Linked DNA regions of Oryctolagus cuniculus. The protein of the gene in region 3 purifies or fractionates together with the protein of the main gene of each other region. This does not show direct contact. Links are inferred from orthologs where the notes say so. Each region holds a gene or a part of one and is shown on either strand. Other genes may lie near its edges.

The links.
Region 1: the proteins of ARRDC3 (region 3) and ITCH purify together in Homo sapiens (co-immunoprecipitation; 5 studies listed by BioGRID and IntAct, counting the BioPlex papers as one, with this or other methods). This does not show direct contact. The link is inferred for Oryctolagus cuniculus from reciprocal best matches to the Homo sapiens genes ARRDC3 and ITCH.
Region 2: the proteins of ARRDC3 (region 3) and WWP1 purify together in Homo sapiens (affinity purification with mass spectrometry; 4 studies listed by BioGRID and IntAct, counting the BioPlex papers as one, with this or other methods). This does not show direct contact. The link is inferred for Oryctolagus cuniculus from reciprocal best matches to the Homo sapiens genes ARRDC3 and WWP1.

The regions. Positions count from the first base shown.
Region 1 is NC_091442.1:23,618,008-23,621,618, forward strand, and holds part of ITCH (E3 ubiquitin-protein ligase Itchy homolog), read right to left. Parts: intron 679-3,611; coding exon 519-678; intron 347-518; coding exon 213-346; intron 1-212. UniProt on the Homo sapiens protein: Acts as an Acts as an E3 ubiquitin-protein ligase which accepts ubiquitin from an E2 ubiquitin-conjugating enzyme in the form of a thioester and then directly transfers the ubiquitin to targeted substrates.
Region 2 is NC_091437.1:111,622,087-111,626,369, reverse strand, and holds the start of WWP1 (NEDD4-like E3 ubiquitin-protein ligase WWP1), read right to left. Parts: upstream 2,818-4,283; 5' UTR 2,441-2,817; intron 1-2,440. UniProt on the Homo sapiens protein: E3 ubiquitin-protein ligase which accepts ubiquitin from an E2 ubiquitin-conjugating enzyme in the form of a thioester and then directly transfers the ubiquitin to targeted substrates.
Region 3 is NC_091445.1:14,128,072-14,132,187, forward strand, and holds the start of ARRDC3 (arrestin domain-containing protein 3), read right to left. Parts: upstream 2,816-4,116; 5' UTR 2,489-2,815; coding exon 2,209-2,488; intron 397-2,208; exon of another isoform or gene 316-396; coding exon of another isoform or gene 228-315; intron 1-227. UniProt on the Homo sapiens protein: Adapter protein that plays a role in regulating cell-surface expression of adrenergic receptors and probably also other G protein-coupled receptors.

The DNA.
Region 1 (3,611 bases), on a different chromosome or scaffold from region 3:
AACACAAGAAATTGTATGATTATTCTCCAAAGACATATTACTGCTGAAAATCTTAGGTGTATTTCTATAAAACTTATACTGAATAATCAGTTTGATGTACAGATAATTTAAATTCAATAAACCAATATATGCTTACAGTTTGGATAAGCTACCAATAACATAATGAAAGCATATAAACTATATTTTAAGAATTAATGTAAGCAGAAACTTACTTAACCCAGATGAGGGAATTATAAAATTCTGGATCAACAGATTCTAAATCCTTAAGTCCAACTGGTTTGTTCAAGATACGTTTATAAAATGGTAAAGAGAAGCCTGTGTCTATGAATTTCCCATGAAATAGAGCCTATGAAAAAAGGATACAATACCATGTAAGATAACATTTAATAGTCATTTTATTTTAAAATTTTAGATGAATTCTTCACTAGAAAAATTTCCTTATCTATTATGGCACATATAAGAAAATTTAGTATTGCTGAATTAGCAAAGTAAATGCACAGCTTTCCATCTGTACGTACCATGGCAATAAACCTCCCAATAAAGCGAAAATATTTCAGGTGATCTGGATTGATGTAAGAAGCAGGGTTTATCTGCAAGCAGTAGTTATCCTTCCCTGCATATTCAAACAGGCAATACATTGGGTTCAACACTTCATGTGACAAAAGAAAGAACCATTCTCTGAAATCAAAAGAAAATTTAGTATGAAAAATCTTACAAGTAATCACGCTAACAAATCAAAGAGCAGTGCCACAAATTTCTCAGGAATCTACTTTCCTTCTCCTCAGCTGGAGATAGTTTTTTAATCTCACATTGATTTTTTACTGCTTCTGTTCAACTCAAATCTATTTTTTTGGTTAAAGATTTATTTATTTATTTGAAACGCAGAGTTGCAGAGAGAGAGAAAGAGAGATCGATCTTCAATACACTGGTTCCCCAAAGGGCAGCATCAGCTGGGGCTAGGCCAGGCTGAAACCAGGAGCCAGGAGCTTTATTTGGTCTGCCACTTGGGTACAGAGGGCCAAAGACTTGGGCTATCTTCTGCTGATTTCCCAGGAGCATTAGCAGGGAGTTGGATGGTAAGTGGAGCAGCCAGGGCTCAAACCAGAGCCATATGGGATGCCAGCAGTGCAGGCAATGATTTATCCCATTGTGCCACAGTGCCGGCCCCAACTAGAATCCATTTTACAGAGATGATAATTACATAGTACTTATTATTATTATTATTATTATTCTTGACAGGCAGAGTTATACAGTGAGAGACAGAGAGAAAGGTCTTCCTTTTTCCATTGGTTCACCCTCCAAGTGGCCGCTATGGCCCGGCGCATTGTGCCGATCCAAAGCCAGGAGCAGGTGCTTCCTCCTGGTCTCCCAAGGACCTGGGCCATCCTCCAATACCCTCCTGGGCCACAGCAGAGAGCTGGACTGGAAGAGGAGCAACCGGGACAGAACCGGCGCCCCAACTGGGACTAGAATCCCAGGTGCAGGTGCCGCAGGCGGAGGATTAGCCTAATGAGCTGTGGTGCCAGCCAGTACTTATTATTATATGTCAAAAATCTAAGACATCATTGACACCAAAGGCATTTTTACTTGATAAACCACTTTCTTCAATTATAATGTAATATACACCTCAAGTTTAGATATATTAAAATGTGAAAATGGTGGTCTCAGAACTGATGAAATAGTATGTACAAGCAAGTTGTACATAATTCATTAATAGAGTGGCTAAAATAAGTCTAATATTCCTATTATTACTATTACTATACTAAGTCTAATATTCCTATTACTAAGTCCTGTGCTGATCCTCATCAAGTGCACCACTATTCCTTACATTTTTAAATGGGTATGAAAAATCTTCCAATAACACAGATGCAGTAAAGCACTTAACTCCAGTCCCTCATTTATTAGAAAAAAAGTTCTGAGAAGCTCTAACTCGAATGCTGTGAAAACATCAAACCATATTTTTTTTTTTTTTTTTTTTTGACAGGCAGAGTGGACAGTGAGAGAGAGAGACAGAGAGAAAGGTCTTCCTTTGCCGTTGGTTCACCCTCCAATGGCCGCCGCGGCCGGCGTGCTGCGGCCGGCGCACCGCGCTGATCCGATGGCAGGAGCCAGGAGCCAGGTGCTTTTCCTGGTCTCCCATGGGGTGCAGGGCCCAAGCACTTGGGCCATCCTCCACTGCACTCCCTGGCCACAGCAGAGGGCTGGCCTGGAAGAGGGGCAACCGGGACAGAATCCGGCGCCCCGACCGGGACTAGAACCCGGTGTGCCGGCGCCGCTAGGCGGAGGATTAGCCTAGTGAGCCGCGGCGCCGGCAACATCAAACCATATTAACATATGACTGTGGATACTAACTATGTAACATGGGTGAGTCTGATGTAGCCGATGTGGGACAACATGTGTGGCATCAACTTGTGCCCAAGATCTCTTTTCCTGTTAGTTCATGGCCTCTGATGATAATAATACTGACACTTTAAACTGCTACTCAATTTTTTTATTAGGAATGAATGATTGCCTTCTTCCTGCATTATCCTAAACTAGTAACTCATATTTACTTATCTGTGATTATTTCATGTATTTTGAAATAGTTTCATTTGAACTTAAACAGGATATAAAGAACTATTAAAGTATAGCTGCTAGTTAGTGGGCACATAAAGATTCAGCTCTGAACTGCACAGTAATCCTACAAAGGCAGATATTACTACTCCCAACTTCACAGGAGTTACTTGTCCAAAGGACATATTATTGAGGGCAGAAAAAATATGCAAATCCAGTATTACTCCAAAGTTCTTGCCTTTCCAACTGCCATTGCTAAGCCCACAAAAGAAAAATAATTAAATTTATTTACATTGAGGGGTAGAAGAGAAAACAAGAGAGAGTGAGAGAGACAGACAGAGACAGAGAAAGAGAGAAAGACAGCGCCCATCTGCTAGCTTACTCCCCAGATGTCCACGGCCAGGAACTCAATCCAGTTCTCCCATGCAGATGGCAGGAACTCAATTACATGAGCCAGCACCACAGCCTCCCAGGGTCTGCATTAGCAGTAAGCTGCAGGAGCTGGCGTATGGAATGAAGGCATGCCTGCCCCCTGCAAATTCTAACCTGGGGTGACATACTGTTATGGGATAAGCAAAGTAGTTTCTTGCTTGAGGCTGTCTCCCAGGTTTTGAGTAAATGTTCAGATATGAAGCAGAATTGAGAATCTGAACTTCGAGTGGGTATTTGGTGAAGTGGTTAAGATGCCACTTGAGATGCCTGTATCCTGTATCAGAACACCTGGTTAGAGCCCCAGCTCCTTCACTTTGGATCCAGCTTCCTGCTAAGGGGTACCCTGGGTGACAGACTTGGGTCCCTGTCACCCCCGTAGGAGACCCAGACTAAGTTTTGTGTTCCTGGCTCTGGCCTGGCCCAGCCCTGGCTACTGCAGGCATTTGGGGAGTGAACTAGGAGATGGAAGATCCCTCTTCTTTCTCTGTCTCTCTGCCTTTCAAATAATGAGCAAATAAACATAAAAATTAAAACAAATTAACACTTCAACTCGTATCTTACACAGTCTATATTTTCATGGATATTAACTCTGTTGGGAACCAAGAAACTATTGTTTGTATCAGTGT
Region 2 (4,283 bases), on a different chromosome or scaffold from region 3:
AAATAAATGCACATTTTCCAAACTCTTTGAAGAGTCCTCACTGTGCCTCTGGAAGTCTTCCAGGCTAGCAGCTTTTTTAGTTAGGATTAATAAACAGCAAAAAGTTGTAAAGTAACTCACAAACACTGAGGGTCAAGTCTACAAGGATCTTGCTCAAAATGGTCCTATTCCTCCAATCTACCTGGATCCCTCTCAAATTCTGGCTATTCTATTTCCTTTTTCCTTTCCAATCCTATTACCAAAACAGCTTAGAGCCTCCCCACCTACAATTAAGACAATCAGGAAGTGTTCCTACTTCCAGGATCTCTAGTCCTCCACTCATACAAGCTGCTACCAGATTAAGCCTCTTAAAACAATAGTCTAAAATTGTTTCACTCCCAACTTAAAAATTATCTTCGGAGCCCTCAATGCTTAGGAAATTCAAGGTCATTAGCATGGCATTAAAAACAATCCACAACTAGTCCCAAGCCTTTACCAAAGCTTTATCACCCTTTATCCTAGTACAAAAACTCTGTGTTCCATTTAACCATAATTACGTGCCTCTTCCCAGATGTATGAACTTGGTGCCCTCTCAGATTCTTCTCTTTGCTTGGATTATCTTTCCCTGTCTATCCAATGTCAGTCATTCTTCAAAACTAAGATTTAGAAAGCCAGAAGTTCTCCTAACTAACTGCACCTTTCCAGAGGATCGCAACTCTACCACTTCTGAATTTAAATTCTGGTTGGATTTTTGTATCATTATGAAACTTTACTATATATTAAAAGACAAACGGGGCATTTGTGTGTATTATTCGCAGGACTGGGGACAGAAATTGTTAATTATTCTTTGTATTCCCCAAAATACCTCATGCAGTAGATGCTAAATAACTGTGCAAGGAAGGAAAAGAAATGTCAATCGTCCTGGGGTAAACAGCAAAGATTACAATCTCTTTGAAGGCAGAGACCTTATCTATGACATCCTCTATCATGTTAGTCTTCCAAAAAACAAGCATTGTAAGGACTGCTTTTCAAAACGATGGTGTTGTGGGTCTTACAAGCAGTTCTTCACTTTATGGGAAAAACACTTTGAAATGTTTGTAAGCTATGTTCCAAAGAACTATTCCACACATTTCACACTTTTCAGTTCAAGTAGCTCCCAACTCTTGGCCACTAACATCTTCAACTTAAAAATATTAACTATTTATGAAAAATAATAATTTCCAGTAACACAATATACTGCTTTATGGCTAAAAACAAGTCACATAAATAAAAGAATGCCTTTATTTTTTAAAACCTGATTTTTTGCTTGCATAATACACAGACTTGATGAGACAGGTAAAAATGGATTTAAACATAAGCATGAACTCTTGTAGAAACCTGCAGACAGCTATAAACCAGGTGTTTCAGGTAAAAATATTAAAGAGGAGAGGGGGAAGAAAGATAACTTCGGACATTAGCTTTTGCTACTATGACCATTAGCATCTTAAAGCAAAAACTCCAATCTTTATGCATATGAGCCTACACACAAAAAAGATTAAAATCTTTCCAAATAAAAAAAGGAAAACTAAAGCAAGCCCTTACAAAATATTCTGTCTTTAAGGAGTAAAAACATCAAATTTATACATAGATAACTACTGTTTTTTTGGTGTGTGTTTTTTGTTTTTGCTTTTTGGAAACGAAGCTCTCACGTAATTACCGGAGCAAAAGAAAGTCAACTCCACATCCACGGAGTAAAGAAAAGCTCTGCACAGTCCTTGTGCATATGAGGCTGGCAATTTAAATGTTGTAAAAGCAATGGACAAAGTATCAATTTAAATTTACCACCACCACTACCACCCCTCAAAAAAAAAAAAAAAGATTAAAGAAGGGGATTGAAGTCACACGTGAGGCTGGGACTGGCAAAATCTGCAAGGTCACTGAGATCTACCAGGTCACAAAAGGTAGAGGTGGGGGTTGTGTTGGGGGGGGGGGTGGCTGCGGAATCAGTGGAAAAGCCAGATTTAAAAAAAAAAAAAAAAGCACGTCAGAAAGAGACGTTCTGAGACTGGAGTCCTTGGTTTGGGACGGCGGAAGGGGGTGAAAGTCAGGGCACGGGCAGGGAGTCCGTGCTTTGAGGGAGGTGTGAGGCAGAAACGTAGAAGCAGCAGACGAGAAGGCGAAGGGAACGGGGAACTGCGGCTGCAGAGTCACGGAAACACTTCGCCCCGCTCCAGGATCATTCGCCCAGGCCTGTGCCAGGGCCAACTCCGGGCAAGACCCGTGACCCAAGCCCAGAAAACTCCAGGCCCCCCGGGCTGGAGAAGGCAGACACGGCGGCGCGAACTGTCCCCCGACGGCCCCGAGAGAGAGAGAGAGAGAGAGAGAGAGAGAGTCCCGCCCGGGGGCGGTCGGCGCCGGACTCCCCACACCGCGGCCGAGGCTCCGGGCCCGCGCCCCGCGCCCCCCGCCCCGGCGTCCTTACCCTGCGCGAAGCTGCCGGCGCCCGGCAGCGGACGGCCACAGCTGCGGCGCCTCCTCCCGCGGCGGGCGCCCTCAACCTTCCGCGCCTAAGATCGCCATCTCGCAGCAGGCGCGGCGGCGGCGGCGGCAGCGGCAGCGGCAGCCACCCAGGCGTCGGCCCCGGCAGCCCAGGCCGCCTGCAGCCACTCGAAACCCGCACGCCGCGTTTGCCGACACCCGACCCTCCCCCCACCCCCACCCCGGCCACGCGCCACCCCCGAGTCGACCCCACACCTCCCTTCCTCGGGAGCACGCCGCGTGCCCGCGTCACCGGCGCCGCGCCCAGAGCGCGCGCCCCCTCCACCCGCCCGGGCACCGCGCTACGCAGCGGCCACCTAAAGACTCCAACTCCGGAGCCGGAATCCGGCGGATTTGCGAGCATGCGCAGCAAGGGCACCCCCGCCGCCTTTAGAAGGGCCACTCCTCCGGGTCTTCTGAGCGATCGACTCGTGTGGGGGGGCGGGGGCGGGCCAGCCAATAGGGGAAGGGGGCGTGGCCTGGACCTGTGAAAGGGGTGGGGCTTCCGCAGAGGTTTGGGAAGAGGCTTTAAGCCAGTGCTAGGTACTGCTGACTTGACTTTCCGGTACTCGGCCCAACCTGCGCGTGACCTCAAGCAGGCTCCTTAGGGCACTGGCGTCCTTTTTTACGAACGCCTTACAGCGAAAGCAGGCTGTTAATAAAGTCTGCTTGACCTAGCTGAGTGCTTGACTTAGAGCCCGTTGCCAAAGTACATGCATTTAGAAGATAGACATACCAGAAGACTTGCAATTTCTGTATATTGGTAATCAAAACGTTCACAACCCACCCCTGCCCACGTCAGCCCAGTGATAAAGCTAATACATGTTGAACAAGAGTATGTGTCAGCGCAATTAGTCCCCATAACAGTCTCATCAGGTAGCGTCTATTATTTCCATCATTCACGCCGAGTCAGCCTGTTTAGGGAAGTGCCCGTGTATTGCTTTTAGAAGGCCGAGCAAATACAAGTGAGTAAGGGCCACATTACTCATGCATGAATTTCTCGAGTGTTTGCCCAAACACCTCACCTACCCCAACAAATTACCTACGTCCACACTCTCAGAGGCTTGGTGTCCCTGCTACTCTCCCAAGCGAACCTGCGCTCTGCTCCCTCTCGGGACCCTTCCTGGCACTTCTCTAACCTCACCTGTTAGCATAACCATGTTTTAAGACTTTTCTCACCTAAACTTTCCATTGACTTTAAAACTCCCTTCCTGCTCTCTCTTCTTTTGTCACAACAGAGCTTTTCGTAGAGTGGCAGTGTCATTGTTGATGCCACTCCACGAATATTTGTGGGATCCAATAAATACCTCCTGGTGGGACACATGCACATTTCCTTCCACTCCGGGGCAGGAGTGCTGACCTCTGCCTTCACACCTGAATTTGGTCCCCATTGAATCCCCGAAGATCATTCTGAATGCCCGTCTGAGCTCGTCGCTCACCCCGCTGCTTCATTCTTTGGCTCTTCCTAGCTTTCCTGAGGAAGGTTACCGCGATAGTCAAGCCCCTTTTCATGCTCATATACTCTGTTCCTCCTCTTAGGAAAAACTCCTTCCGCTTCCCTGAATGTACTCACTCATCTCTGTGCTTTAACCACGATGTCCTCTGATTTGCCCTCTTCGTTTTGCGTAACAGTCCCTTTAAATAGATGTCACCACGAATTTGCAACTCACCGCCCCCCCCCCCACCCGCCAACCCACCCAGCAATTCCCTAAGAATTCCCAGCAAGATCTGCCCTCCTCCAGAGTGCATGCTGGCTTCCTTCTGCTTCCTGCTCTTCTCTGTCTCAC
Region 3 (4,116 bases):
AAACCACTTTTCTTTGCCCTGGCCAGCCAGTGCCAGACTCCCCCTCAGGTCACGTCAAGGTAGCCAGACTGCTGACTGGACAGTCGGCACATGTCTGTGGCAGCCGAGAGGAAAGGGAGCCACTCCGACACGTCGCCCGCGACCTCGGGGGTCCCGCTCGCTCTCCTCACGCCAGCCCCCTCTACGAGGGTCTCTGGCCAAAAGTTGCGCCCAGGGCGACTCTGCACCTGTGAAAGCCGGCAGCGGCTGGCGCCCCGTACGAGGCGTCCCCCTCGTGGCCCCAACAGGCCGGAGAGAGGGACAGCAGCAGGGCATGCCGCGACGCGGGCCCCGGGAGCCCACGGAAGCCCGGGAACGCACTCGCGCGAGCGCGGGCGGGGGCGGCCGCTCGGGAGGGACCTTTACCGGCGCACGCCGGTTCCAAGCCGCGCCCCAGCCGGCCGGAGCCCACTCTCCCCACCCGCGCCGGCCCAATCCAATCAGCGCCCGGCATCGCCTTAGCAACAGGCTAACAAACCTGGCCCCGCCCCTCGCCGGCCGCCCGGGGCGGGGCCTCCGCTGCCAGGCTCGTGTGAGAGCTCTCAGCTAAAGTCATTGAAACTACTCCAGGCAGAAGCTCGTCCACGCGTGGCCGGCTTCGGGGGGCGCCCGGCTGGGTGCGGGGCGTTCGGTTTTCCTCACCACGAAGTCGAGGTGCAGCTAACGACCTTGCTTTCCGCCCCAACGCATTGTTCTACTTTCCCTTCACTGCAAGGCTCAACTCTTGAGAGAAAAACCTTTTGTTTCTTCTCATTTTATAAAAGGCTCGAAATCAAACTCGCGTGTGCGCTTTGCAGCACACAGCAGAACTGTCATCAGGCGCTTTGCATTTCCTATCAGAGTTAACGCTTGGGAAGATGAACTAGAAATTACTTCAAGATGCAAAACCACCTAGGTGAACTGTGGAAACCCTGCCGAAGAACTGATTTCACCTGAGCATTTAAAAAAAAAATGCAATAATGCTGTAACTCAACGCTTCCTTTATTTCTCCCTTCCCTTAATTCAATTAGCATTTCCCTGGGATGTATATCTTGAATATAAAAACGCAGATAAAAGCGAGCCTCTTTCTGAAAAAGTCAGCATTTGCACTAAATACTGCATTAAAAAGGAGAAGCACAAAATTACATAACCAGTTTTAACATTATATTCTTCTTGGGCTAGAATTAAGTCATCGCCACCACCTGACGCGTGTAACCAATCTGCTGAGAGCTGCACAAGCGCCCCTCCTCACCACCCCCCAGAACTGGTCCGAAACAGGATTGAACCGCTTCTAACAAAGGGTGGAAACTTAGAAAAACAAGCTTAGAGTCTCCTATATTTCCACAATGTAGCCATCTAAACAATAGAGGGGAAATCTCAGGACCCCCTCTCCCTTTGACAACCCTCCATCTCCCCCTTCTAACCAAAAATCAAGTCCAGTGTGCGGTCTACTTTTCAATTCCATTGGACTGGCAGGGTTTCATTGAATGCACGTTCCAAAGTTAGACATGATGCTTGGAGAAGAAACTGCTGGCCCTGAATGGCTTCTGAACCTGACTGAACACCGGCCACGGTGATAGATACTGTCTTTTAAAATAAGGAATGCTTGATGCAAAATTCCCAAAGCATTGGAAAGAAGAGGTTAAAAAAAAAAAAAAACACGTGGGGTGTTGGTAATACCATATGTCAAAATAAGCCAGGGAAACCCTCTCTCAAAGAACAATGATCAATTCCTTATAAAGTCCTTTGCACGTTAATATTAAAAGGAAACACATCTACTAACCCTCCTAAAATGTTATTTCATTCCTTCCTTCAAGCTCAGGTTTTGAGCTAAGGTTGCAAAGAAAAAGGAAAAAATTTTAAAAATCTGATGCCGGACCGCAGCTTTCATCAATTCATTTGAAAACGTAGCAGTAAAATCATGGACTCGGAGGCAAGCAGAATTTCCGAGTGAGGTGCAAATGGACCGCAAGTGCGTATGGCACAGCCCGAGCCGGGTCCAGGGGTGGTGGAGACGAGGTGCAGTTTGCAGTCGCTTTGCAGATGCCGGCACGCATTACAGCCTCCCGTCAAGGAGAACCCAAACCTCGCAACTTTGCTAGCCTCCAGCAAACGGCCGAGCTACGCTGCGAGAACCACGTCCACCCGAGAAAGCCAGCCTGCAGACTGCCGAATGGTAGGAAAACTTACCTCTTTCGTGCCCAATTAAGATGTCTTTATGGTTGAAGTATTCTACTTCTTCGGTGTAGTTCTGCGTGTAGGCAGTATTGGAGCCGGCGTTTCTAGACTCCGTCCAGCGTACTTTCGCATGTCCTCTTGCATGAATTTTAAGCGATTTTACTCTGATTTCCCCAGTAACTTCTAAATTCACCCTTCCTGAGACAGTATCCCCGCTGGAATACACGGGGACATTGCTGTCATTCAGACAGTCGAAGCTTATTGTCAAATTCTTCACCTTCCCCAGCACCATGTTGATAACAAAAATCTATAAAAAATATAATGTAAGACCCCCAAAAAAGTCAAGATCGCATATAAAATGGGATCTTCACTCAACACTGATCGATGCTTCTGCCGTGCAAAAATGCAAACCCTTGCAGGCAGGATCAGTAGCTCCTTACAGACAGTTCATTGAGAGCTCTTAAAAGTCAGGGCAGCAGAGAGGCTGCGGCGGCGGCTCCGCGCGCCCGCCCGTCTCAGTGGTCTCCTTACAAAGACGGGCGGCCGGAGCCTGCCAGCTCACTTTAAGAGCAGCTTTGTGAAAAACAACCCCAGTGCGCACGCGCACGCCGCCGCGGCCGCCGGCCCCCCGGGCGCGCGCCCCCGCCGCGCCGCGCCGCGCCGCGCTCGCGCCCTCGCCGGGCACGCGCGCGGGTACAGTAGGCGTGGAGCCGGGGAAGCCGGCACGGGCGCTGCCGGGAGGCCCGGCCGGACTTCGCTGCATTGTGGGCTCCCATTGGCGGGCGGGCTGCCGGAAAGCCCCGGCGTGCTCCCCGGAGCCGCTGGCCGGGCGGCCTCTGACAGAGCGACCGCCGGCGGGGCGCTGAGGGACCGCGGGCCGCGTGGAGGGGCGGCCGGGCCGGCGCACGCGTTAGCGGCGCTGCGCGGATTCGCCCGCCGCCTGCCTGGGAGGAGGAGGAAGGGGGAGAAACCGGTCGGGCCAGCGGCTGGGTGGCTGAGCCTGAGCTAACGACTTTCGGGAGGAAAAAAAAAAAAAGTCCTGAAAACCGGGCCAGGAATCGTGGTCACAGACGAGAGCAGTCTCGGCGTGGATTTTATGCGCGTCCGTAGATGGCTGTAGACGGGGTGGAAGTGAGCTCCCTGGAGGCCAAAAGGGGGCCTGCGGAGCGGACGCCCTAAGGCAGCGAGGAAGAGGCGTAGGTCCCGTCCCCTCGGGGGGCTGTGCCGGCTCCGGCTACCCCGAGCGAGTCGCTGGCGACGTTGGGGGCAGGCGGCCCGCTTCCCCCGAGGAAGCCGAGGTCCTTGTTAGGGACGCCAGCCGTGGCCGGAGTCAGGGTGCAGGGTGCGCGGCTGCAGCCCTCGCGTCCACAGTGCCACCTTGCAGAAGGCAGGTGGCACGGTGGCGGCTCGGCGCACAGCCTTGGTGGGGAGTTGCTGGAGCGCGAGCGATGGTTTGAAGGAGCGAGATGCAGCGTGTGGAAAGCATAATTCTTAGCATCAGTGAGGATGCGGATTCTGCGGAGCCGCGGTTGTCCGCTGGACTGTTCAGCCTAGTCATTCCCGTGCATCCTAATAGGTACATTTGTCTTTTTTGATTGTGAGTGTTTCGGTAAGAAATAGCAGAGCCTGCGTCACGCCCCACTGGGATGCAGAGTGTAACAGCACAAACTCGTGTAGATTACTGGCCTCCGCAGAGCTGCTGTCAGGAGAGCTATAGAAAGACAGAAAAAGATGGGAATCTGAAGCCACATATACGTAACCAGGAATTCTTGGGAAGGTTTTTGGCTACGGCTGTGTCCATACGTTTTAGATTCTTCTGCGTAGTATGTTTGGGTAGATGGAGCCCGGGAGTCACAATAAATGATACTCGGCCTTGCTGTTTTGGAGGAAGTGAAATTTTACTGGGTTGGGTTTTAGTTG